Linked DNA regions of Stegostoma tigrinum. The protein of the gene in region 3 interacts with the protein of the main gene of each other region in a biochemical or structural test. Links are inferred from orthologs where the notes say so. Each region holds a gene or a part of one and is shown on either strand. Other genes may lie near its edges.

Evidence for each region.
Region 1: the proteins of dynamin-1 (region 3) and endophilin-A2-like form a complex in vitro, tested with the Homo sapiens proteins (2 studies listed by BioGRID and IntAct, with this or other methods). The link is inferred for Stegostoma tigrinum from reciprocal best matches to the Homo sapiens genes DNM1 and SH3GL1.
Region 2: the proteins of dynamin-1 (region 3) and endophilin-A1 form a complex in vitro, tested with the Homo sapiens proteins (2 studies listed by BioGRID and IntAct, with this or other methods). The link is inferred for Stegostoma tigrinum from reciprocal best matches to the Homo sapiens genes DNM1 and SH3GL2.

What each region holds. Positions count from the first base shown.
Region 1 is NC_081383.1:32,289,012-32,297,028, forward strand, and holds the start of endophilin-A2-like, read left to right. Parts: upstream 1-4,975; 5' UTR 4,976-5,132; coding exon 5,133-5,177; intron 5,178-8,017. UniProt on the Homo sapiens protein: Implicated in endocytosis. May recruit other proteins to membranes with high curvature.
Region 2 is NC_081356.1:23,525,792-23,533,032, forward strand, and holds the start of endophilin-A1, read right to left. Parts: upstream 3,043-7,241; 5' UTR 2,745-3,042; coding exon 2,700-2,744; intron 1-2,699. UniProt on the Homo sapiens protein: Implicated in synaptic vesicle endocytosis. May recruit other proteins to membranes with high curvature. Required for BDNF-dependent dendrite outgrowth.
Region 3 is NC_081382.1:36,991,826-36,999,731, forward strand, and holds the start of dynamin-1, read left to right. Parts: upstream 1-4,836; 5' UTR 4,837-5,645; coding exon 5,646-5,806; intron 5,807-7,906. UniProt on the Homo sapiens protein: Catalyzes the hydrolysis of GTP and utilizes this energy to mediate vesicle scission and participates in many forms of endocytosis, such as clathrin-mediated endocytosis or synaptic vesicle endocytosis as well as rapid endocytosis (RE).

The DNA of each region.
Region 1 (8,017 bases), on a different chromosome or scaffold from region 3:
ATTCAGTTAAATGATATCCAAATTATTTAGTTACCAGACACCACTTTCACGGACTTCAATGGCAGGTATAAACACAATGCAACATAAGTAAATATTACTGAAGATCACTAAATATTATTGTTATTTTAGCACTGAAATTGTTTTACACAATGCAAATCAATTGTGTGCTGAAAAATATTCTTGCCTTTAATCAAAATAGAGCACCTGCAAGACAACATGAAGAATCAATCTTTTTAAATTCTAATTGTAGTAACATGATACATGATGCAAATGACATAGTGGTTCTTATCTGTAATGCATTCATCTTAATAATATGTTCTTATCAAGGCTTGACAACATGTATCCTGACATGGCAATGAATGTAAATACCGCAGACATAATCTTTGAATTTAAAAAGGGAAATATCCCTAAAATTGAGAAGAATCAATCTTCACTAATTGTTCATCAGGAGAATTTGGGAATGTAGCAGATAATGAACAAACTGTACAAGCTGATTTTCCCTGAGCAGATTGTACATTTTGAATTGCAACGACTAAAAATAGCACCATGGAGATAGAATATATCTGTGCACACTCACCAACAGAAAAATTAACAGTACTTTTCATGTAAGAAAATATTCAAAAGCACGTTATGGAACCATAATAAAGCAAAATTTGACACTGAGCCATAATACAGTTATAATAAAACAGATTGTCAAAAGCTTAGCCAGAGAGAAGCTTTTGGGAAGAAATTCCAGAGTTAAGGCCCTTGGCAGCTGAAGATGCAGTCGCCAAGAGTGGAACAACTTAAATTGGGATGATCTGCAGCCCACAACTGAATGATTGTAGGGATTTTGGCAGGTTCTGGGGCTGCAGGAGATTGTATGCATATGGAGGGCAAAGCCACTGAGGGATTTGCAAACAAGGATAAGAATTTTAAATTGCTCGATCAGGAGCCAGTATGGGTCAACAAACAAAGGGAAATGAAATTTTGGACCTTGAGACCTGGGTATGAGAGTTTTGGCTGACTTTGAATTTACCCGGGCTACATTGGTGGAGGTCAACCAGGATGTCTCTTGAATAGTCAAATCCAGAGATCATAATGGCATTGATGAATGTCTCAGCAGCAGATGCACTGAGGCAGTGATTAAGTCAAGTGATTTAATGGAGGTGGAAGTGTGCTGTCTAAATCGTGGTACAGATGAGAGGTTGGAAGCTCATCTTGGGGTAAGATATGACACTGAAGTTGCTAACAGTCTGTTTTAGTTAGAGATAATTGCCTGGGAAGCTGACAGTGTCAACAGTTTGGAACGTGAGCTCAGACAATTGATTCAATCTTCTCAGTGTTTATTATCCCAATTTCAATATTAACCAATCTTTAGTAGACTACATGGAAAATTCCAAGATGAAAGTATGCTTTTTGGCATATCCAATCTGTAATGGCATTATCTTCAGCATGAGTAAATGTTTCAAGAGCCCACCTTTTTCTCAGATTTCCTTATTCCCCTTTTCTTCATTTACCCATTAATCTATTCTTAAACATTGATTTTGTTACTTGTTTTTGTCACTAGGTCTGGTAGTACAATCCACGAGCTCATGATGATATGCAAAAAAAATTCCTCTTTAGATGCATCGAAAACAGCAGCAAGAGTAGGCTATTCAGCCCTTCGAATCTGCTCTGCCATTCAATATGATCATGGCTGATGATTCAACTCAGTACCCTGTTCCCATTTTATTCCCATTCCCTTTAATCCCTGTATCTAACAGCGTCCTGAAAACATTCAAGATTTTGGCCTGTTTTTTTTGGGGCAGAGAACTCCCCAGGCTCACCATTCTATGAGTAAAGACATTTTTCCTCAACTCTGCTCTAAATGGTCTACCATGTATCCTTAGACTGGTTCTTTGACCTGAACATTTTGTATTTAAGCTTACTCGCTTGCTCCAGATGTAACAAACACTGAAAAGTGCCTATTCTAATGACTGACTGATATTTCATAATTTTAAATAATTTCATAACTTCCCATGTGCTTGGGAAAATTGAACAAATGGGAAATGAGCCATACTAATTTGTAAGGACACATATTTAACTCTTACCTAAGTTGGGTTAGTTCAATGTACAGAGTAATTATTCAAAATTAACCTCATTGCTCTAATTTAAGTGCAACAGTTGGAAATTGCATTTATAAAGAGAAGTCAGGACTCACATATAATAAATGGCACCTTAAAATTTAGTGGACTATTGACATTGTCCCCCTCAGCTCCAAAATTTAGACACAGAAAGTAGCAGAGATGTGGAATCTTTCCAAATCAGGGAGCTTTTCTGCGCCTCTGATGCTGCCTTGCCTGCTGTGTTGATCCAGCTCTACACCTTGTTACCTCAGATTCTCCAGCATCAGCAGTTCCTACTTTCTTTGGAATCTTGTTGTTCTCAACATAAAGATGTCTGACATCAGGATTCATTTCAATGAGGAGGGAAGGGGTCTCAAAAAACAGTCGCTGAGCAGCAGGAAAATAGTGTTAAAAAAGAAAAGAGTGAAAAAACAGCCAGGGAGTTATCCTGGGATACCAAGGTGTAGAGTTGGATGAACACAGCAGGCCAAGCAGCATCACAGGACCAGGAAAGCTGATGTTTCAGGCCTTAGACCCTTCTTCAGAAATGGGGGAGGGGAAGGGAGTTCTGAAATAAATAGGGAGAGGGGGGGAGGCAGATGGAAGATGGTTAGAGGAGAAGATAGGTGGAGAGGAGACAGACAGGTCAAAGAGGCAGGGATGGAGCCAGTAAAGGTGAGTGGAGGTGGGGAGTTAGGTCAGTCCAGGGAGGACGGACAGGTCAAGGGGGTGGGATGTGGCTAGTAGGTCAGAGTAGGGGACAGGTGGGAGGAAGGACAGGTTAGGGAGGTAGGGACGAGCTGGGCTGGTTTTAGGATGTGGTAGGGGGAGGGGAGATTTTGAAGCTTCTGAAGTCGACATTGATACCATTGGGCTGCAGGGTTCCTAAATGGAATATGAGGTGCTCTTCCTGCAACCTTCGAGTAACATCGTTGTGGCATTGCAGGAAGCTCAGGATGGACATGCTGTCTGAGGAATGAGAACAGGAGTTGAAATGGTTCGCGACTGGGAGGTGCAGTTGTTTACTGTGAACCGAGCGGAGGTGTTCTGCAAAGCGGTCCCGAAGCCTCCGCTTGGTTTCCCCGATGTAGAGGAGCCACAACGGGAGCAGTGGATACAGTACAGCACATTAGCAGATGTACAGGTGAACATCTGTTTGATGTGGAAAGTCTTCTTGGGGCCTGGGATGGGGGTGAGGGGGGAGATGTAGGGGCAGCACTTCCTGCGGTTGCAGGGAAAAGTGCTGGGGGTAGTGGGGCTGGAGGGGAGTGTGGTGCTGACAAGGGAGTCATGGAGAGAGTGGTCCCTCCGGAAAGCAGATAAGGGTGGGCAGGGAAAAATGCCTTTAGTGGTGGGGTTGGATTGCAGATGGTGGAAGTGTTGGAGGATGATGCGTTGGATCTGGAGGTTGGTGCGGTGGTACGTGAGGGTGAGGAGGATTTTGTTTTGGTTGTTATTGCGGGGAGGGATGCAAGGGATGAGTTGCGGGAGACATGGTCGAGGGAGTTCTCGATCACTGGGGGGGGGTTGGGGGGGATGTTGTGGTCCTTGAGAAACGAGGACATCTGAGATGTATGGCAGTGGAATGCCTATTCCTAGGAGCAATGTGGTGGAAGTGAAGGAATTGGGAATAGGGGATAGCAGTTTTACAGGAAGGTGGGAGGGAGGAGGTGTATTCTAGGTAGCTGTGGTGGGCTTGAAATGGATATTGGTTTCCACAGATGGAAACATAGAGGTCCAGGAAGGACAGACAGGTCAGAGATGGTCCAGGTGAACTTAAGGTTGGTGTGGAAAGTGTTGGTGAAGTGGATGAACTGTTTGAGCTCCTCCTGGGAGTATGAGGTGGCGCCGATACAGTCATCAATGTAATGGAGGAAGAGGTGGGGCCAGTGTAGCTACGGAAGAGAGATTGTTCCACAGAACCTACAAAGAGGCAGGCACAGCTTGGGCCCATGCAGGTACCCATGGCCACCCCCTTTGTCTGTAGCAATGGGGAGGAATTGAAAGAGAAGTTGTTGAGGGTGAGGAGTGCACCATTCAGTTGGCAGAAGGAGAGCCAGAACAGCAGTTTGTACTGTGATGGAATGGAGGTTCAAAAAATGTTTTCTGCCCCAGGCAACCCTTTTCCTGAGTGTTTTTCATGTGGCACTTGTTGACTCACGTTTCAATTTTCCAAGACAGAGAGAAAACAAAACTTTTTTCACTGGCTCAAGAGAAGTGAAGCAAATTCCCAATTTCGAAAATTAAAGATGTGGTCTCTTACATTGGCTGAAGAGTAATTCCCCTTAAAATTTAAAAGTGTTTAAACTTTTCACTTTTTACATGTGCAACATCCACATTTAAACATACTTGGAGTTGATCCCCCTTCACCTTAAAGGTCTTGACTCACCTCAATTCTTCACCTCGATTCCAGCTTGTAGGAACTATTTCTCCCTGATCAAGGCCTTTCTCCGTGGAGTTCTTCAAAAATAAAACTAACGTTCACACAATACCGTTCTAGAGATTTAGGCTTCGTTTTCCAAGAAAAACCACAAACCCCATTAAGACAATTTTCTTCGTGTAGAAGTATATCCATACAAACCACACAACATGTGACTTCAATCCTCCAGAACGATAGGTGGCGCTACGCCTACAGTCTGAATAACTCCTGCTGAGGAGGTCAGGGTTGAAAGAACGGGCACAGGCTGAATAGCTGGAGTGCGGCTGAGGGAGGCGGTGTGTTCGGAGGACCGTCTAACGGCTGAGTCTGGCGCGCTGCTGTGGGGAGCGCTGTATTTGGAAGACCGTGTGACGGCTGAATGGCTGCAGTGCAGCTGATGGCGGCGCTGTGTGTGGAGGACAAAGTCCGCTGTTTAACTTTTCGCCGGCGGGTGGCGCTCCTTGTCGCGCTGCCGGAAGTAGCTGCGGTTGCCATGTAGGATTTCTGACAAGAGTCTGTGAGGGGGAGAAAGAGAGAGGCGGGGGTTGAACATAGAGAATAACAATTGAAAACGGCCACGTAATCGAGCTTTTTTAAAAGTTGTGGTCGGTTAAAAGTGTGCGAGGATGTCGGTGGCCGGGTTGAAGAAGCAGTTTTACAAAGCGAGCCAGGTAAGGAGGCTGGGCCGGGATCTGGAGTCTGGGGGGGGGGTCTCTCAATGTGAAGGAATGAGCTCTCACCCCGGCTGATGCCAGTGTCATACAACCCTCGCTGCCAATAGGCACACTCGCTCTAACTTACTGCTGCAGCATGGTTCACATGTTTTCAAGGTCTGTGTGGCGGCTATAAAAATAATCCAACTTTCCTTGTTTACATTTATGTAATTGTTAAAAGAAAAAAAAATCAGTTTTTTTTGTCGCTGTGAAATTGGAGTTCGAGCTTGATTTCAATTGGCCAGCAATTTCCGTTTGAATCCAACTTTTTTTTTCCCTCGTACAAAAGGAATGGCAAACAGGAACGCTTCATTTTCGATTTTTAAAACAAATAAGTGGATTCGTATAAATGAAAGAGAGACTAGTTGTGCAATCTCTTCTCCATACGTATTGGGCTGTCAGATCCGAAGGTCTATTTTTTAGCGTCGACAACTTGAATCCGTTTGTTGGTTTAAAAATGCGAGACTAACTTCAAGCCTCGTTTATTGCTGAATCTCTTTTTTTTCCCCCAAACTCTTTAATCTTGGACTTAGGTTAAGTAATGTTCCTCTAGACGCAGATTCATGAAGTTTTTGACAGCGTTAATATTTAGGGTTTTAGGGAGACGGTAGCGTTAATTCCCACAAATATTCAAGTTGTTTGTTAGTTGTCCGGACGTCTACAGTTAAAATACATGCAATTTCACAACGTGCCGAAGCTCACTGGCATATTTTAACAGTTAACTCTAACCCTCAGAAAATTGACAGGTAGGGAAAATAAAACGCACATCTTATTGATGTCCAGTTGAAGTTTAGCTCCCAACTTTAGTCTGAGCAGCATTTGAAGTAACAAAAACAGAAATTGCTGGAAAAAAAATCAGCCGTTCTGACAGCATCAGCAGAGAGAAAGCAGAGTTAACATTCCGAGTCCCGTGATCCTTCAGAGCTGCTGAGTTTCTTCAGCAATTTCTGTTTTTGTTTCAGATCTTCAGCGTCAGCATTTCTTTGTTTTGTTTTAGAATATATAATTGATTTCATTATTTCTGTCACATGTGAAATCAGAATTGTTGCTGGTAATGTTTGTCGAAAAATAACAAAGTGGATGCTTGGTTAGGATAGCATCAAGATTGTCTTGTGGTCAGTTTCACTGAACTCATCATCAAATAGAACATAGAGTCATAGAGATACACAGCATGGAAACAGACTCTTTGGTCCAACTTGTCCATCCAACCAGATGTCCTATGCAAATCTAGTCCCATTTGCCAGCATTTGTCCCATATCCTTCTACAGCTTTCCTTTTAAAAGATATCTGGATGGATATATGAAATGTAATTGTACCAGCGTCCAGCAGTTTGTCTAGCAACTCGTTCCATGCACGCACAATCTCTGCATGAAAATGTTGCCGCTTGGGTTCTTTTTATATCCTTCCCTTCTCACCTTAAACCTATACCCTCTTGTTTTGGACTCCCTCACCCCAAGGAAAAACCCATGTCTATTTACCGCACCCATGCCCCTCATGATTTTATAACCATCTATTAGGTCACCCCTCAGCCTCCGATGCTCAGGAAAATGGCCCCAGCTTGTTCAAACTCTCTCTATAGCTCAAATTCCCTAACCCTGACTGCATCTTTGTAAATCTTTTCTGAACCCTTTCTAGTTTCACAAAGTTCTTCGTAGAGGGGGAGACTAGAATTGCACAGAATACTCCAAAAGTGGTCAAACCAATGTCCCAATGTACAGCTGCAACATGACTCAATGCACTAATCAGTAAAGGCAAGCATACCACACGCTTCTTATCAGTGGCTCAACTTTCAAGGAACTATAAACCTGCACTCCAAGGTCTCTTTGTTCAGTAACACTCCCCAGGACCTGTCAATTTAGTGTATAAATCCTGCCCTGATTTGCCTTTCCAAAATGCAACATCTCACATTTTGTCTGAATTAAACTCTATCTGCTAGTACTCAACCCATTGGCCCATTTGTATTCTGAGGTGATCATCTTTGCTGTCTGCTACATCTCCAATTTTAGTGTCACCTGCAAACTTACTCCTATGATCACATCCAAATCATTTATATAAATGACAAAGGCAGTGCCCTACACCAAGACTTGTGGCACATTCTGGTCACAGGCCTCCAGTCTGAAAACCAACCTCCACCATCATCCTGTGTATTCTACCTTTGAGCCTGTTCTTATCTAAATGGCTCATTCTCTCTGTATTCCATGTGATCTAACCTTGCTAACCAGCCCACCATGGGGAACCTTGTCGAACACTTAACTGAAGTCCATATGGATCACGTCCATCACTCTGCCCTCATCAATCCTCTTCATTACTTCTTCAAAAAACTCAATCAAGTTAGTGACACACGATTTCCCACACACACAGCCACATTGACTATCCCTAATCAGTCCCTGCCTTTCCAAATACATAATTCTATCCCTCAGGATTGCTTCCAACAACTTGCCTACCACCGACTTCAGTCCCACTGGTGTATAGTTCCGTGGCTTTTCCTTACCACCTCTCTTAAATAGTGGCATCATTTTAATCGACCTCCAGTCTTCCAGCTCCTCACCTGTGGCTATCGATGATGCAAATATCTCAGCAAGGGGCTCAGCAATTTCTTCCCTCACTCCCTACAGAGTTCTAGGGTACATCTGATCAGGTGTGGGGGATTTATCCAAGTTTATGCATTTAAGACTTTCAGCACCTTCTCCACTGTGCATGTGGTTCAGTTATAATGCATGTTCCAGCAGTGCAAAGTAGGTATAACACGACTGACGAATAGGAGAACACTATTTCTAAAATGCAAACTTGTTTTGGCT
Region 2 (7,241 bases), on a different chromosome or scaffold from region 3:
GGTACGTATGAGACACTGAACCATGAGGGAATTCTAACTTAGAATCCCTACAGTGTGGAAGCAGCCATTCAGTCCACAGTGACCCTTCAAAGACCCACACCCTACCCTATGCCCGTAAACCTACACATCCCTGGGCACTATGGGCAATTTAGCATGGCCAAGCCACCTAACCTGTCCATCTTTGGATGGTGGGAGGAAACCACAGCACCCAGAGGAAACCCGCAGAGACTCGGGGAGAAAGCACAAGGGTAGTAATCAAAATGGAATATGAATAGAAGTGAGTGCTCAGTGGGGACTCTGGGGATTCAGTATTGTTTCTCGTTGACATTAATGACACTGGTTTTGGAAACATGGAAATAGCAGTCAATGTCACATATGAGCACATGCTAGGAGGAGAGGTGGAATTGTAAAAGACAAGTCAGAAATCAGAGAAAATTTGGACCAGATGGGAGATGAGATTTAATACAGGCAATTGAAAATTGTGCAAACAAGGACTGATCACCCTGAATGGTGCTGGGGCAACAGATAGTGTGAAACGGATTGGGAGCCTACAGGCCAATGGTCTAAATGTGGGCTTTACCAGTTTCAAAATCTCCCCACTCCCAGCCTCATCCCATGACCAACCCTCCCTCTCATCCCAGCCCCCTTGACCTGACACAAAATCAAAGTTGCTGGAAAAGCTCAGCAGGTCTGGGAGCATCTGTGAAGGAAAAAAAAAGTTAATGTTTGGGATCCGGTGACCCTTCTTCAGACCTAATACAAACTCCTTGACTTGACAACTTGTCCATCTTCACTCCCACCTACTTGCCCCGCCCACCTCACTGACCAAGCCCCACCACTGCCTACCTGCACTCACCTATCACCCATTCCACCTACCTTCCCCAGCCCCACCCCTCCTCTCTATATTTATTTCGGAGCTCCCTTCCCCCTATCCGTTTCTGAAGAAAAGTCCCAACCCAAAATGTCAACTTTCCTGCTCCTCGGATGCTGCCTGACATGCTGTGTTTCTCCAGCTCCACATTGTTATCTCTGGAGTTTAAAAAAACGCCCTCATCTCAACGACACGTTCAACAGAAACAGGGCACTCTACAAAACTAGCTGTATATGACAGTAAGTCGTCCCAGAGTCTCAATGCAGCTGCAGAGTGCTCTAGTTATGCTGCATATCGAACACAGCATTCCAATTCTGGTCACCCATTTACATCCAGTGCACAGAAAAGCCGTACGTTCAGTGCCTGGAATCAGGCCCGGAGTGAAGTCAAAATGCTGGACCAGAACTTGAATTCCAGCCTGGAACGGAAATGCTTTAGAAGTGGTGCCAAGATTGTCAGGATAATTGCAAATATTAACGTTAAATTGCAAGCTGAAGTCCGACAGAGTAAATGGAAATTTTGATGGCTGCGAAGAGGGAGGGAAGGAGCGGGGGCGGGGGGGGGGGGGGGGTGGTGAGAATAGCAGGACAATGGGAAGAAATAATTCAAATCGAGAAGCAGCAGCGATGCATCTTTCAGGATGTGTAATTCAGTTGTGCCCAGGACCGGTCCCATCCTTAATATACTCGTGACCTACTGAAATGCTTGCAGCATCTTTCCTCAATCTCCCCCGATTCGCTCCCCACTCCCCCCCCCCCACCTTTCTTCAAACTACCCGCCAGCAGGCATCTGCCATGTGCTTCGGTGCCAGTGTCCCCCAAGTCTCAAACCCAGAGAGTCAGAGTCAGTGACAGTAAACAGGCGCCTCAACTTCCAAGCTGAGGATTAGCTGTAAGTATGCAGGAGAGCCGGGAACAGGGGAAAAATCTTTAAAATGGTCAGCCCAGCTGACAGAGGAATGAACATTTCTCCCAAAGTAGCTGAGGCGAAGATCGTGACGTTTGATGAAAGAGGCTGTTATTTCAAAATAAAGACACACAGAGAGAGAGAGAATATTGCAGGCGCGGTGAAACTCAAAACAGAATTGTTGATGGCTGGGATGCTCAATACACAATTGACAGCGGCAGGATCAAATTAATTATTTCCGCGGTGTTTTACGTGTTGAGATCATATAAAAATCAACATTATAATGAGGTGCGAGCCGATCTAACCAGCAGCAGCAAATTGGTCTTGTTCAGAGGACATTTCTCCTCCTTGATTCCAAGATCAGGAGACTGCTCGTGGGGGGTGGGGGACAGCAGCAAGGACTGGATTTCCGCAATAGCGACCTGGAGCCGACTGAGGGCATTGGAAAGCCACTCTTCCAACAGACCCAGAAAGAAGCTGCGACGCGGCTCACTCCGGGGACTAAATAATAAATGATTTCCGCAGCGATCCCGCAAACATCCCGGGGAAAACGGAGGCTCAAAACCCTTCTCTCCCACCACCACCCCTTCTCCCCTAAAATGAAACGCCTCTGTCGAGACCTCATTGGCAAATCAACCCACAGCGAGCCCCACACTCACTGAAACATCAAAGTTCCCAGATTTCGCCACAGGAATCCTGCCTGACCCGACCTACACAATGACATTGCTTCATTAATCGGCGTTGTGTAGCCCCGGAGGGTTTGGGACATGAAGCGAGACGGGGATTCTATCATTACTTCTTGTAAAACGGGAAGGTGGTTAAGAATACAGAGGCACGACAGGGACGAAGCTTGGACTGAAGCTCAAACCGCTTTGGTGCAGTGGGGCAGAGAGTGTCGGAGCTGCAGCAGCTATCTCCCTACCTGAGTAGCCTTGTGGAATTGTTTCTTCAGTCCCGCCACAGACATGGTTCCTGCAGAAAAAGGAAGCGGTCCTGTTCGGCCGCTTATTTGCAAACAGGGTTATTCTCGCCTCCTTCGCGGCTCCTTCTCATCTCACTCCAGGATTAAATTACTATCGGCAAAACCAGGATATCCGGACCCAACCTGACGTCAGCTTCTCTTAAAGACACAGCCACGTTTCGCCAGCGATGAGGATGAATTAAATCCGCACTGACAGCTAAAAATAGAGACAATCTATTTCTATACAGTCGTTTCTTCCAGCGGTGCACAATGCTTGGTGTCTGTATTATGCAGAGATAGATTTCGTTGCAGTCAGACAGACATGTATGCGGGCATATAGGTCGAAACATTGAAGAGCTGTCCCACAGACTAGCCGAGCAACTAACTATTATAGCGAAACTCACGGAACCGTACCATCCAGTGCTCTAGGCGCCAGCAGGAGTGATGGCACCATGGTATGGGGTCAAGAAAGTGTGGGCCTGCGAGTTGTCGAAATACATTTCGATCTCCATGAGATACAGACAAGAAGACTTCCTGTTGATTACAGTCAGCACCCATGCAATCCCCTCTCCCCACAACGTTGAATGTCAGATGAAAGACATGCTGAAGGTAGTAGGGCCACAAACGTACTTTGGGTGCAAGAATTCTAACAACAACATTAGCCAAACTGACTCAGTCCTTAAGTAGATATAAACCAGATTGGATTTAGACTAGGTGGTTAGGGAGCCAACAAGAGGAAAACAAATACCTGTCCACACCTTCACCTGTCCATCCCACTTTATAGAAAATCAGCAGAACCCTGAGTAACACAAGACAAACATTTTTGTTATACATCAAAGATGTACTTGTTATTTATGTCATGGGAAGTTCTGTCTATGATGCTATTGGTCAGAGTGACCACCACACAGTCATTGTAGTGACAATGTCCCATCTTCACATTGAGGATATATCTCCACTCAGTTGTGTATCTCCACCACCATGCTGAATGGAATAGATGCAGAGCAGATCTACAGCACACAACATGGCACTGTGAACCATTGTCAACAGCAAAATTGCATCCAACCATAATTGTATCTTCATGGCCTGGCATATCACACTTCACCATTACCATCAAATTGGGGGACCAAATTTAGTCAATGAAAAGATTTTGCCTGATGCAGCACCAATCATATCTGAAAGGGAGATGTCAACTCATCCAAGCTGCAATACAGAACTACATGAATGTGAAACAGAGGAGGCAACATTCAAGAAATAGTGTCAAGCACCCTATTTATAAGGAACCAGTTCAAAGCCCTGTAGTTCTGTCACATACAGGTATGAACATACCTGATTATTTCCAAAGAAGAATCAATGGTTCAAAATGTTAATTTTGTTTTCTTCTTCACAGATGTTGCCAGCCTTGTTCATTTTTCCCAACAACTCGTTTTCTTTAATTTCCATTTACAACATAAGCAGCATTTCCGTTTTATTATAGTCATGAATGGCATTGACCAATCAAATGACAAAAAAAACTCTACAATATCCCCATCATCAGTATGAGACAGTCAAGCATGTAGAACATAGAACATTACAGCACAGTACAGGCCCTTCGGCCCTCGATGTTGTGCCGACCTGTCATACTGATCTCAAGCCCATCTAACCTACACTATTCCATGTACGTCCATATGCTCATCCTTTGATGACTTAAATGTACCTAAAGTTGGCAAATCTACTACCGTTGCAGGTAGAGCGTTCCATTCCCTTACTACTCTCTGAGTAAAGAAACTACCTCTGACATCTGTCCTATATCTTTCACCCCTCAATTTAAAGCTATGTGAGTGTGAAAAAGCAATGTTGAATTGTTCACAACCATCTTCAGCCACAAGAGTAAGTGGAAGATCCATCTTGAACTTTTCCTGATGTTCCTATTTTGTGCTTTCATTAAAAAAAGGGCATTGAATACAGGAAAGGTAAAATTGCAGTGACAAAATTTCAGCAGTAGTACCAAAGACTTATGTGGTAGAAATAGAGACAATAGGAACTGCCGATGCTAGAGAATCCGAGATAACAAGGTGTGGAGCTGGAGGAACACAACAGGTCAAGCAGCATCTGAGGAGCAGGAAAGCTGACGTTTCGGGTTCTGATGAAGGGTCTAGGCCCGAAACGTCAGCTTGCCTGCTTCTAAGATGCTGCTTGGCCTGCTGTGTTCATCCAGCTCCACACCTTGTTATCTGTGGTAGAAATAGCTTTGTCCTTAGTCATGCCATTCCAGTGCTGAACATCTAGAACACTGGCATCTATTTGGCATTATGGAAAGTTGCCCAGAATGTTTTGTCCACAGAAAAGCAGTAAATCTAACACAACCAAATCCTGAACTGTTGGTTTACTCTGAACCATTAGCAAAATTGAGAAAGGTGTTAATGAGGTTGGATTGTGTGCCTTCAGCACACATGTGAAAACTGATGCAGTGTTTTCTGATGATGTTGCTGACGGGCAGCATGGGGATAAAAAAAGTAGACAGCAAGGATAGATGCTTGGAAAACACCAGAAGGAATTGTGCAGGAGTGGGAAGAAAAGCCATGACTGTCGTTTCCAATAACCTGTTAATGGAAACTCAGTTTGGCTCCCACCAGTTCACTTGGTTCCAGATCTCATTACAGCCTTGGACCAGACATGAACAAAAGAGCTGAGTTCCAGAGATGAAGTGAGGCTGATTACTTTTATATTAAGGGAACATTTGGTTTCAGTGCTGCATTAAGTAGCCATAGCAAAATTGAAGTCAGTCTAAGGTGGGGGAATCTCTGCACTGTGTTCAGTATAGCTGCTGCCAAAGTGTACAACTTGAAGGGAATTTGCAGGTGATAATTACATGTGTCGCTTGTCCTTGTCATTACAGGTTGTAGAAGTTGACGGCATGGGAAGTGCCATTTGGTGAGTTGTTGAAATGCAATTTGTATTTGGAACATGCTATGTCAATCATGGATGGAGTATATATTTAGGGGAGTTGAAGCAACCCAAACAGGTTGCTTTCTCCAAGATGTCATAGAGTCATACAGCATGGAAACAGACCTTTCAGTCTAATCAGTTCATGCCGACCATGGTTCTGAACTAAAATAGGCCCATCTGCCTCTTGAATGTTTTTGGAATTTTATCCATCCAGGCATGTGGTGAGTATTCCATAACAATCAAATTAAGGCCCTGTGAAAATATTCGAAAGGCTTTGGAGGTGGGAGGGTAAGTTGCTTGACCCAGAATTCCTGACCTCTGACTTGTGCTATGTTGTGCTTCTGGTCAATGGTAATACACTACCACTAATAATGAGGATTCAATAATAGTGATGTCATTGAATAAAGAGGGAAAGTGGTCAGGCAGTGTGTTAGAGATAGATATATTTGGAAGGTTTTACGGCCTAGTACTTGAGTGGCATCAAAGTTATTTGCCACTTGCCAGGCTAAGATGTTTTCCTAGTCTTATTGCATATGGACAAAGACTACTTCAGTATCTGAGAGCTTGTCACCAAACATCACACAGTTCTAAGCTTATGATTATGACAAGGTCGATGATGGAGCAGCTGAAGATTGTGGAGCTGAGGACGCTGCCCAGAGGAATTCCTGCTGAGATATCCCGGGGTTGAGAAGTTTAGTTTGCAACAACCACAGCGATCTTCCTTTGTACAAGGCAAAATATGAATGGTGAGTTTGCCCACGATTCCTATTTACTTCAATTTTGTGAGCATTCCTCAATGCCACACATTCTCAAGTGTTCCTCTGATATTGAGGACAGTAGTCCCAAAGCCCTGGAATTCAAATTTATTTTCTATCTTGGATCAAAACTATAATGAGGTATGGCCCCAAAATGTCCTGATTAAACCAAATGGAGCATCAGTTAGCAAGTTATTGGTGGGAAAATGGTGTTGGATATTACTGTCCTCACTTTCCACTCCACCAGTCTCTGCATTCAAAGGATCTTCTCCACCATTTCTACCAGCCAGAGACCAGCACCAAACTTATCTCCCCCTTCTCTTTACTATCAGCATCCCCCAATGCCATCCCCTATGTGACACCCTGGTCCACTCCTCTATGCTCACCCTTCCAAAACAACAGCTGCCCCCTCCAGCCTGCACTTAAGACCCTGCTGTGGCATCTTCTCATGCAAACACAGAAGGTGTACCATTTACCCATTTCCATCCTCTTTCCTTATTGTCCAAGGTGCCAAACCCATGTTCCAGGTGAAACAGCATTTTACTTGTACTTCTTTCAATTTCGTCTACTGTATTCACTGCTGGCATGCTGTCTCCTTTATATTTGCCAGGGCAAACACAGACTGGCTGAGACAGGACCAGTCTTGCAAAATAAATCAGCTCTGTCTCTAGAATGGCCCCGACCTTCTAGTTTTTTTGGCAATTCAATAAACCACCTTGAGTCCCTGTTCATTTTTTCCATCCTGGGACTGCCCCAGTGTAAGCTTTTTCTGCTCGGGCAAATTTCCATATCTTCAGAATATGACCTCTATCCTCCATTTTTC
Region 3 (7,906 bases):
GAAAGATTTAGGAAAGTTAGCACAGAGCAGAGAGCATTAACCAAACAAACATCCTTTGAGGTGATGGGAGACGTTGATGGAGTTGGTCAAAGGAGGTCACCATCGACAAAGAACTGGAGAGGATTTTCTTTTAGATCAGAATAATTGCCAGGGTCTGAAACGCTTGGCTTGAGCAGGTGGTGGAAGCTAATTCCACAAGTAAGGGAGTGGTACTGGACGCTGGTCGGACTTCTCTGGGCTGCTCCACTTCAGCTGAGTGCCGTCTCAGTACTCACCAGAAATTGAAGACAGCACTTTCTTCCAGCTGCAACACTCAGGGTTGCAGGGTCAAAATGCATTGCTTTGAGTAATGTTTCCGATTTGGCAGCTTTCCTATCAAGTTGCCCAAGGAAATCCAGCACTGTAACCAAGTTGCCTCACAATCCTTTCTCCCACCTTCCCTGTTCTCAACAGGAACTGACTTTGAGACAGTGTAAACAAGGGGCATCTGTGTCCAGTGGATGAAAGGTTGGCAATTGCAGGGTCCAGATTGACGGTGACTGGCAAAGGAACTAGGGGCGAATGTTACAGAGATAGTAGGGACTGCCGATGCTGGAGAATCCGAGATAACACGGTGTGGAGCTGGATGAACACAGCAGGCCAAGCAGCATCAGACGAGCAGGAAAGCTTGACGTTTCGGGTCGGGACCCTTCTTCGGAATGGGGTGAATGTTTACTTGATGCAGTGTGTTGGTACAATCTGGAAGGCATGGCTTGAAAGAGCAGGTTCAACCACAACTTTCAAAAAGGAATTTAGTCAGTATTGGAAGGGAAGATGAAAGTACAGGCCTGTGGGCTTAAAGAGGAAATTGTAACTATTTGGAGAACTTTTTCCAATGATCTGGTGCAGGCACAAAGGACTGAATGACTTCTCTTCGTGTGGCTGATTCTCTGACTGTTTACCCGAGTGTGATGTGAGTGGTCAATACTGATTGAGTATTGATGTTCTGAGGAAGGGTCACTGGACCCGAAACATTGACTCTGTTTTTTCCTTCACAGATGCTACCAGACCTGAAGAGCTTTTCCAGCAACTTCTGTTTTTGTTCCTGGTTTGCAGCACCTGCAGTTCTTTTGGTTTTTATTGATTGAGTAGAACCTACGATGAACCTCCAAATCTGCTCCCACCTCAGTTTTTAACCCCTTGCTACTCCTTATTATGTACAGTGAGACTGTCCCTCTATTGTACCATGATTATGAAAATTAAGTACAATTCATAAATACTGAATAAATCTACAATTGATGACATGGCTATCAGTTTCAGTGGTACCGATCGATAATTGATATGCCTTCCTAACCTTTTGCAGTGTCTGTGGTGAGTATTCTGTAATGTAGAAAGTTCCAGGGTTTTAGCCTAATGACAATGAGGGAATAATATTAACATTTTCTGATCAACCTATTCTGAGATGTTATTAGACACCTGTGGAGCAGTTAGGACTTAACCTGGCCCAGGGACAATGCCGCTGAACTACAAGAGCCCTGCAACAATGATACATGTTGGTAACATGGATAGCACAGTACAAGTGATTTGACACACACTGACATCCAAACACACAGCCCACTAATCAGTTTTCTGATCCAGACCCTTTCATTCAGTTTAATTAAAGACAGTACAAGTGCCACATCGCAACATTTGCCATACCTTTTGCTGTAAAGAGGTCTCTGGTCCTGATCATAGAGTCATACAGCACAGCAATGGACTCTTCAGCCCAACTTGTCCATGCTGTCCAAGTTTCTCAAACTAAACCAGTCCCAGTCACCTGCGTTTGGCCCATGTCCCTCTAAACCTTTCCTATTCATGTACCTGTCCTTTAAATGTTATAATTGTGCCTGCATCTACCCCTTACTCTGGCAGTTCATTCATAGAATCCCTACAGCATGGACGCAGCCCATTCAGTCCACACTGACCCTCTACTACCCCTACCCTATTCCTGTGAACCTGCATTTCCTACGGCTAACCCACCTCGACTGTACATCCCTGGACACTCTGGTCAATTTTAGCATGGTCAGTCCATCTAATCTGCACAACTTTGGCCTGTGGGAGGAAACCTGAGGCCCCGAAGGAAACCCACGCAGACACAGGGAGACTTTGCAAACTCCACACAGTCACCCGAGGGTGGAATCAAATCTGGGTCCGCGGTGCTGTGAGGCAGCCGTGCTAACCACTGAGTCAGCGTGCCGCCCCAAACCACCATCTGTGTGAAAAATTGCCCCTGGGGTCCCTTTTATATCTTTCTCCTCTCATCTTAAAACATACCCCCTAGTTTGGAACTCCCCCACTCTAGGAAGAAGATGTTTGTATTCACCTTATCTTTGCCTCTCACGATTTTATAAACCTCTAACAGGTCACCTCGCAACCTCTTATGCACAAATGAACAAAGTCCCAACATATCCAACCTAGGCTTATAACTCAAAACTTCCAGTCTTGGCATTCCTGGTAAATCTTTTCTGAACCCTCTCCAATTTAATAATGTTCTTCCAGGGAAAATATGCCTTTAATTATCTAGAATAAAAGCTGGAACATAAATTTCATAAGATCATCCAAAATAACAGCAAAATTACACCATTCAGCCCATTGAGGCTGCTCCACCATTCAATCAGTTTCTCAGCCCATTCTCCTGCCTTCTCTCCCAAAACCCTTGATCCTCTTATTAATCAAGAACTTATCTACCTCTGTCTTAAATACACTCAATAGCTTGGCCTCCACAGCCTTCTGCAACAATGAATTTCTCCACAGATTCATGACCTTCTGGCTGAAGAAATTCCTCCTCATTTCAGTCTGAGTCACTCCTACCAGTGGAAATATCTTCTCCATATCCACTCTATCTACACCTGTCTGCATTCTGTAAATTTCAACAAGATACCCCCTTCATCTTTTGCCCAGATGGTATAGACCCAGAGTCCTCAACTGATCCTCATATGACAAGGCCTTCATACCTGGGATCATTCTTGTGAACCTCTTCTGGACCCCCTCCAAGGACAATACATTCTTTCATAGGTATAGAGGCAAAACTGCTTACAATATTCCAAATGTGGTCTGACCAAAGCATTATACAGTTTCAGCAGTGTATTCTAGCCTCTTGAAATGAATGCTAACATTGCAATTGTCTTCCTAACTGCCAACAGAAGCTGCATGTTAGCCTTAAGAGAATTCTGAGCAAGGACTCCTAAGTCTCAATGTGTTTGAGATTTCTGAAGCCTTTCCCCATTTAGAAAGTAATCTATGCTTCTATTCTTCCTAGCATATCCTCACACCATTCCAGCTTGTGTTGACAAGTGCCAAGTAACACTTGCACCAGACAATCAATATCTTCAAGCAAAAAAAAGGTTAGATTCTCCGCAACCATCTCTTTAGACATTGAATGGCATTAAAATGGATGAACTGGACCAGCCAGGCAATACTGCGTCTACAGCAGAAGGTCAGAGGCTGACAATCCTGCAGCAAGTAACTCACTTCCTGACTCCACAGGCTTTAGCATCTATAAGACACAACCAAATCAGGAGGGTTAGTAGGAACTGCCAATGCTGGAGTCAGAGGTAACACAGCGTGCAGCTGGAGGAACAATGCAGGCCAGGCAGCATCAGAGAAGCAGGAAAGTTGAAGTTTTGGGTTGGGACCATTCATCAAAAATGATTTGTGAAGAAGGCTCCCGAACCGAAACGTCAGCTTTCCTGCTCCTCTGATGCTGCCTAGCCTGCTGTGTTCCTCCAGCTCTACACTGTGTAATCTCTAAATGAGGAGGGTAATGACATACTCCCCACTTGCCCAGATGAGTGCAACTCCAAGAACACACAAGAAACCCATCCAGGATGAAGTAACCTGCATGATGGGCTCCTCATCCAACTCTTTCAAAATTCATTCCCTTCACCACTGACACACGCTGGCAACGCGGCGTACCATCACAATGCAGAAACTCACCAAGGATCTTTTGATACCATCTTCCAAATCTATGACCTCTACCACCTACAAAGGACAGCAGATATACGGGAACAGCAACCTCTGCAAAGTCCCTTCCAAAACTTCACCATCCTGACTTGGAAATATGTTGCCTTTCCTTCTGTGTCACTCTCAAAATCATGGACTAGGCCAGCATTTATTACTAAGTCCTAACTGCCCTTTAGAAGGTGGAGGTGAGCTGCCTTCTTGAACCACTGCAGTCGTGTGAGGTGAGTAAATCTTTAGCAAACTCTGTCTGTAGGGGGAGAGTTCTAGCCTATGGAAATGGCCAGTACTCCTTCCCTAACAGTATTATGGATGTATCTACATGGACTGGAATGGCTCGGGAAGGCAGCTTACCAGAACCTTAGCGATTAGCATTGCGCAACAAATGACAGCAGCTTCAAATCCCATAATCAATTTTGTTTGAAAAGAATCATGGAAGGCATTGGAATGGAAAGCATTGCAGAAGCTCAGCAGGTCCGACAGTGACTGCGGAGAAAAGAACAGAGTTACTGTTTCATGTCTAAAAGATTTTGTTCTGAAGGAGATTCATGCTGGACTTGAAATGCTGACTCTGTTTTCTCTCCACAGACGCTGCCAGACCTGCAGAGTTTCTCCAGCACTTTCTGCTTTTGCTTCAGGTTTTCAGCATCTGCAGTTCTTCGCTTTATGCGCAGTATTTTGTTTCTAAGTGAAAAAGATACCTCAATGATTCCCATTCCCCTTTAATAGCAATTAACATTTTCTAACCATCCTGCTCAAGAAATATTAATACGTGCCTCTGCAGCAGGAGCAGGTGGGACTTCAACCCAGGTGGCCTGGCCCGAGAAGCGACACCAGCACTGCGCCACAAGAGACCCCAAATATGATACAACTGAGGAGCAAGTGCGACTCGAAGCCAGGCCTTTTAGGTTAGAAGCGGGGGTACCGCAAGCGCACTCCAAGATCCTATTACCCTACATGTAACTATTTTCCAAAAATTGGTACATGCAACGCTCTGGTGGTTTTCGGTGAGACGCAGAATGCAATCTGCGAGGAATGACTGCATGTTCCAAGTCTGCATTGCAATCCTTGCGCCTCTGCAGCAATGGCCAGGAGAAGGGCCCCCACTCTTCTTGTGCAATTAATTCCAACCTATTTTTATCTGAATGATTTGGGGAAGACGCCAGGCGAGGATTGCAACAAAAAAATCCCGGACAGGGGTTCGCTGCCACCCTTTGCAATTGGTAACAAGAGGAGCCCAGCCTTGCGCTGGTGGGTGACAAGAGGACGAGAATGAGAGGGCGCGCGGTGCACCCTGGGAGGTGGAGTCCGGGACCGTCCGTCCACAAGGTGGCGCCGCGGGTCGTGGACTACAGATCCCGACAGGCCGGCCGTGGCAGCGCCTGCGCAGTGGTGGTGCCTCTTGTTCCCTTTAAATCGCTGGCTGTATAGCGCAGGCAGAGCGGTGCGATAGAGCGGAGCCAATTGAGAGTGTGCGGCTTTGGGTGCAAGGGGAAGAGCGCAGAAACAGCATTTAACCTGCGAATGCAATTCCCCTCCTGCAGCCTGAGGTTTGCTGCTCCATGTGGAGCTTTTTGCATATTATAGACTAGGCTCCCAGCTCTTTATCCCACATTCAGATCCAGTAATAGTAGCGGCTGGTCCCAGCTCATCGCCATTCAGCAAACATGGGCAACCGCGGGATGGAAGAACTGATCCCCCTGGTCAATCGGATGCAGGATGCTTTCGCTCAGATCGGACAGAATGCCAATCTGGACTTGCCCCAGATCGGGGTAGTGGGGGGACAGAGCGCCGGCAAGAGCTCTGTGCTGGAAAATTTCGTCGGAAAGTGAGTCGATGCACGCAATTTATTTCTGTCTTCTTTTCCCGTTATAAGATGTATTTTTACTTGAATGACCATAATTTATAACTGTGCCAGTGGCGTTGGATTTGTTGTTGATTTACCGTCCCCCCGCCCACCCAAAACGAAACGCCAAGACAGCAAATCCAGAGAGGCAAGGAGGTTTTAATGTTATCTGTTATTTATTAAACAAAACACCAGACCCGCTGCATTCAGAGCCGGATTCCTGCCCTAATCTTTGCTGCATGTCACTAGATAAACAGCGGGTCTAAATCGGCTGAGAATTATGTGGAAAGGCAGGACGAGATCACTGACATCAATTCAGCAGATTTAACCTTACGCCTGTCTCTGCCCCTTTGCAATGTCTGTTTTAAAATATCGGAAGGTCCAAATCTTGTTTCTATTCCATTTCTCCCCCGCACACACACACAGCCCAACCTGCGCAGTTAACAGTATTTAAAGGAGACCTATGTATGAAATCGGTAGGTTTCATGAGGCTGCTTTTCCCCAAACCGGGTTTCGCTGCGTCCACCTCATTCATTGACCTTAGCCCCAGCGGCACTGTCTCCCAGCATTTCAGCGAATTCCAGGTGGAGCCCCGGCAGCGTTCGCACAAAACAACAAATTTCACCGCATGCGGCGGTGAGTCCGCCATAGCGCCGTGTTACAGAGTGCTACACAGGGACACAGTGTTACTGTGTCCACGGCTGTTACATTGTATGTACCTGTGACCGACTGTGCCTGTCACTGAGGTATTTCTCAGTGTTCACCTGTCACTGCCTGTGTTAGTGTGTGTGACTGTTATTTTGTCACTGTGCCTGTCACTGTTGTTTTGTCATTGCACGTGACTGTCACTGCATGCTATTATGTCACTGCGTTACTGTGTGACTGTTATTTTGTCACCGACTGTGTCATTGTCTGTTATTGTCTGACTTATTCTGTCACTGTACCTGTGTCATTTGTGTGACTGTTATTCTGTCACTGTATGCCTCTGTGACTGTGACTGTGACTGCCTGTGTTAGTGACGTATTTTGACACTGTGTGCTTGTATCACTGTTGCGGTGACAGTCATTGTGTGTCCATCACTTGCTGCATGTTTGATGAGTGTGGGTGTGTTACATTGTGTGTAATGAGTGACTGTGGGTGTGTTATATTGTGTGTAATGAGTGACTGTGGGTGTTACACTGTGTGTAATGAGTGACTGTGGGTGTGTTATACTGTGTGTAATGAGTGACTGTGGGTGTTACACTTTGTGTGTGTGCGTGTCTGAGTGTCAGGAGGTATTAAACCGTCTATGACTGTGGGCCTTAGACTTTATGGGAGTTACGAGTGTGTGCATATGTTTGAGTGTTACACCTTGAGTGTGGGTGTTAGACTGTGAGTGACTGTAGGTGAGACACTTTGTGTGTCTGTATGACTGTGGGTGTTACACTGTGTGTTGGTGTTACAGTCTGCGTAAGTGGTAGACTGTGTGTGGGCATTAGACTGTGTGTGCGTGTCAGACTGTGTATGGCTGTTAGACCGTGTGTGGGTGTTAGACCGTGTGTGGGTGTTAGACAGTGTGCGAGTGACTGTAGGTGACACGCTTTGTGTGTCTGTATGACTGTGGGTGTTACACTCTGTGTGAGTGTTAGACTGTGTGAGTGTTAGACTGTGTGTGTGCATGTTAGACTGTGTGTGTGTTAGACTGTGTGTGTGGGTGTTAGACTATGTGTGTTGGTGTTAGACTGGGTGTGTTGGTGTTAGACTGGGTGTGTTGGTGTTAGACTATGTGTGTGTGTTAGACTGCGTGTGTGTGTTAGACTGCGTGTGGATGTTAGACTGTGTGTGTGGGTGTTAGACTGTGTGTGTGGGTGTTAGACCGTGTGGGTGTTCGACTGTATGTGGGTGTTAGACTGTGTGTGTGGCTGTTAGACCGTGTGGGTGTTAGACTGTATGTGGGTGTTAGACTGTGTGTGTGGGTGTTAGACCGTGTGGGTGTTAGACTGTATGTGGGTGTTAGACTGTATGTGGCTGTTAGACTGTGTGTGGCTGTTAGACTATGTGTGGGTGTTAGACTGTGTGTGTGGGTATTAGACTGTGTGTGTG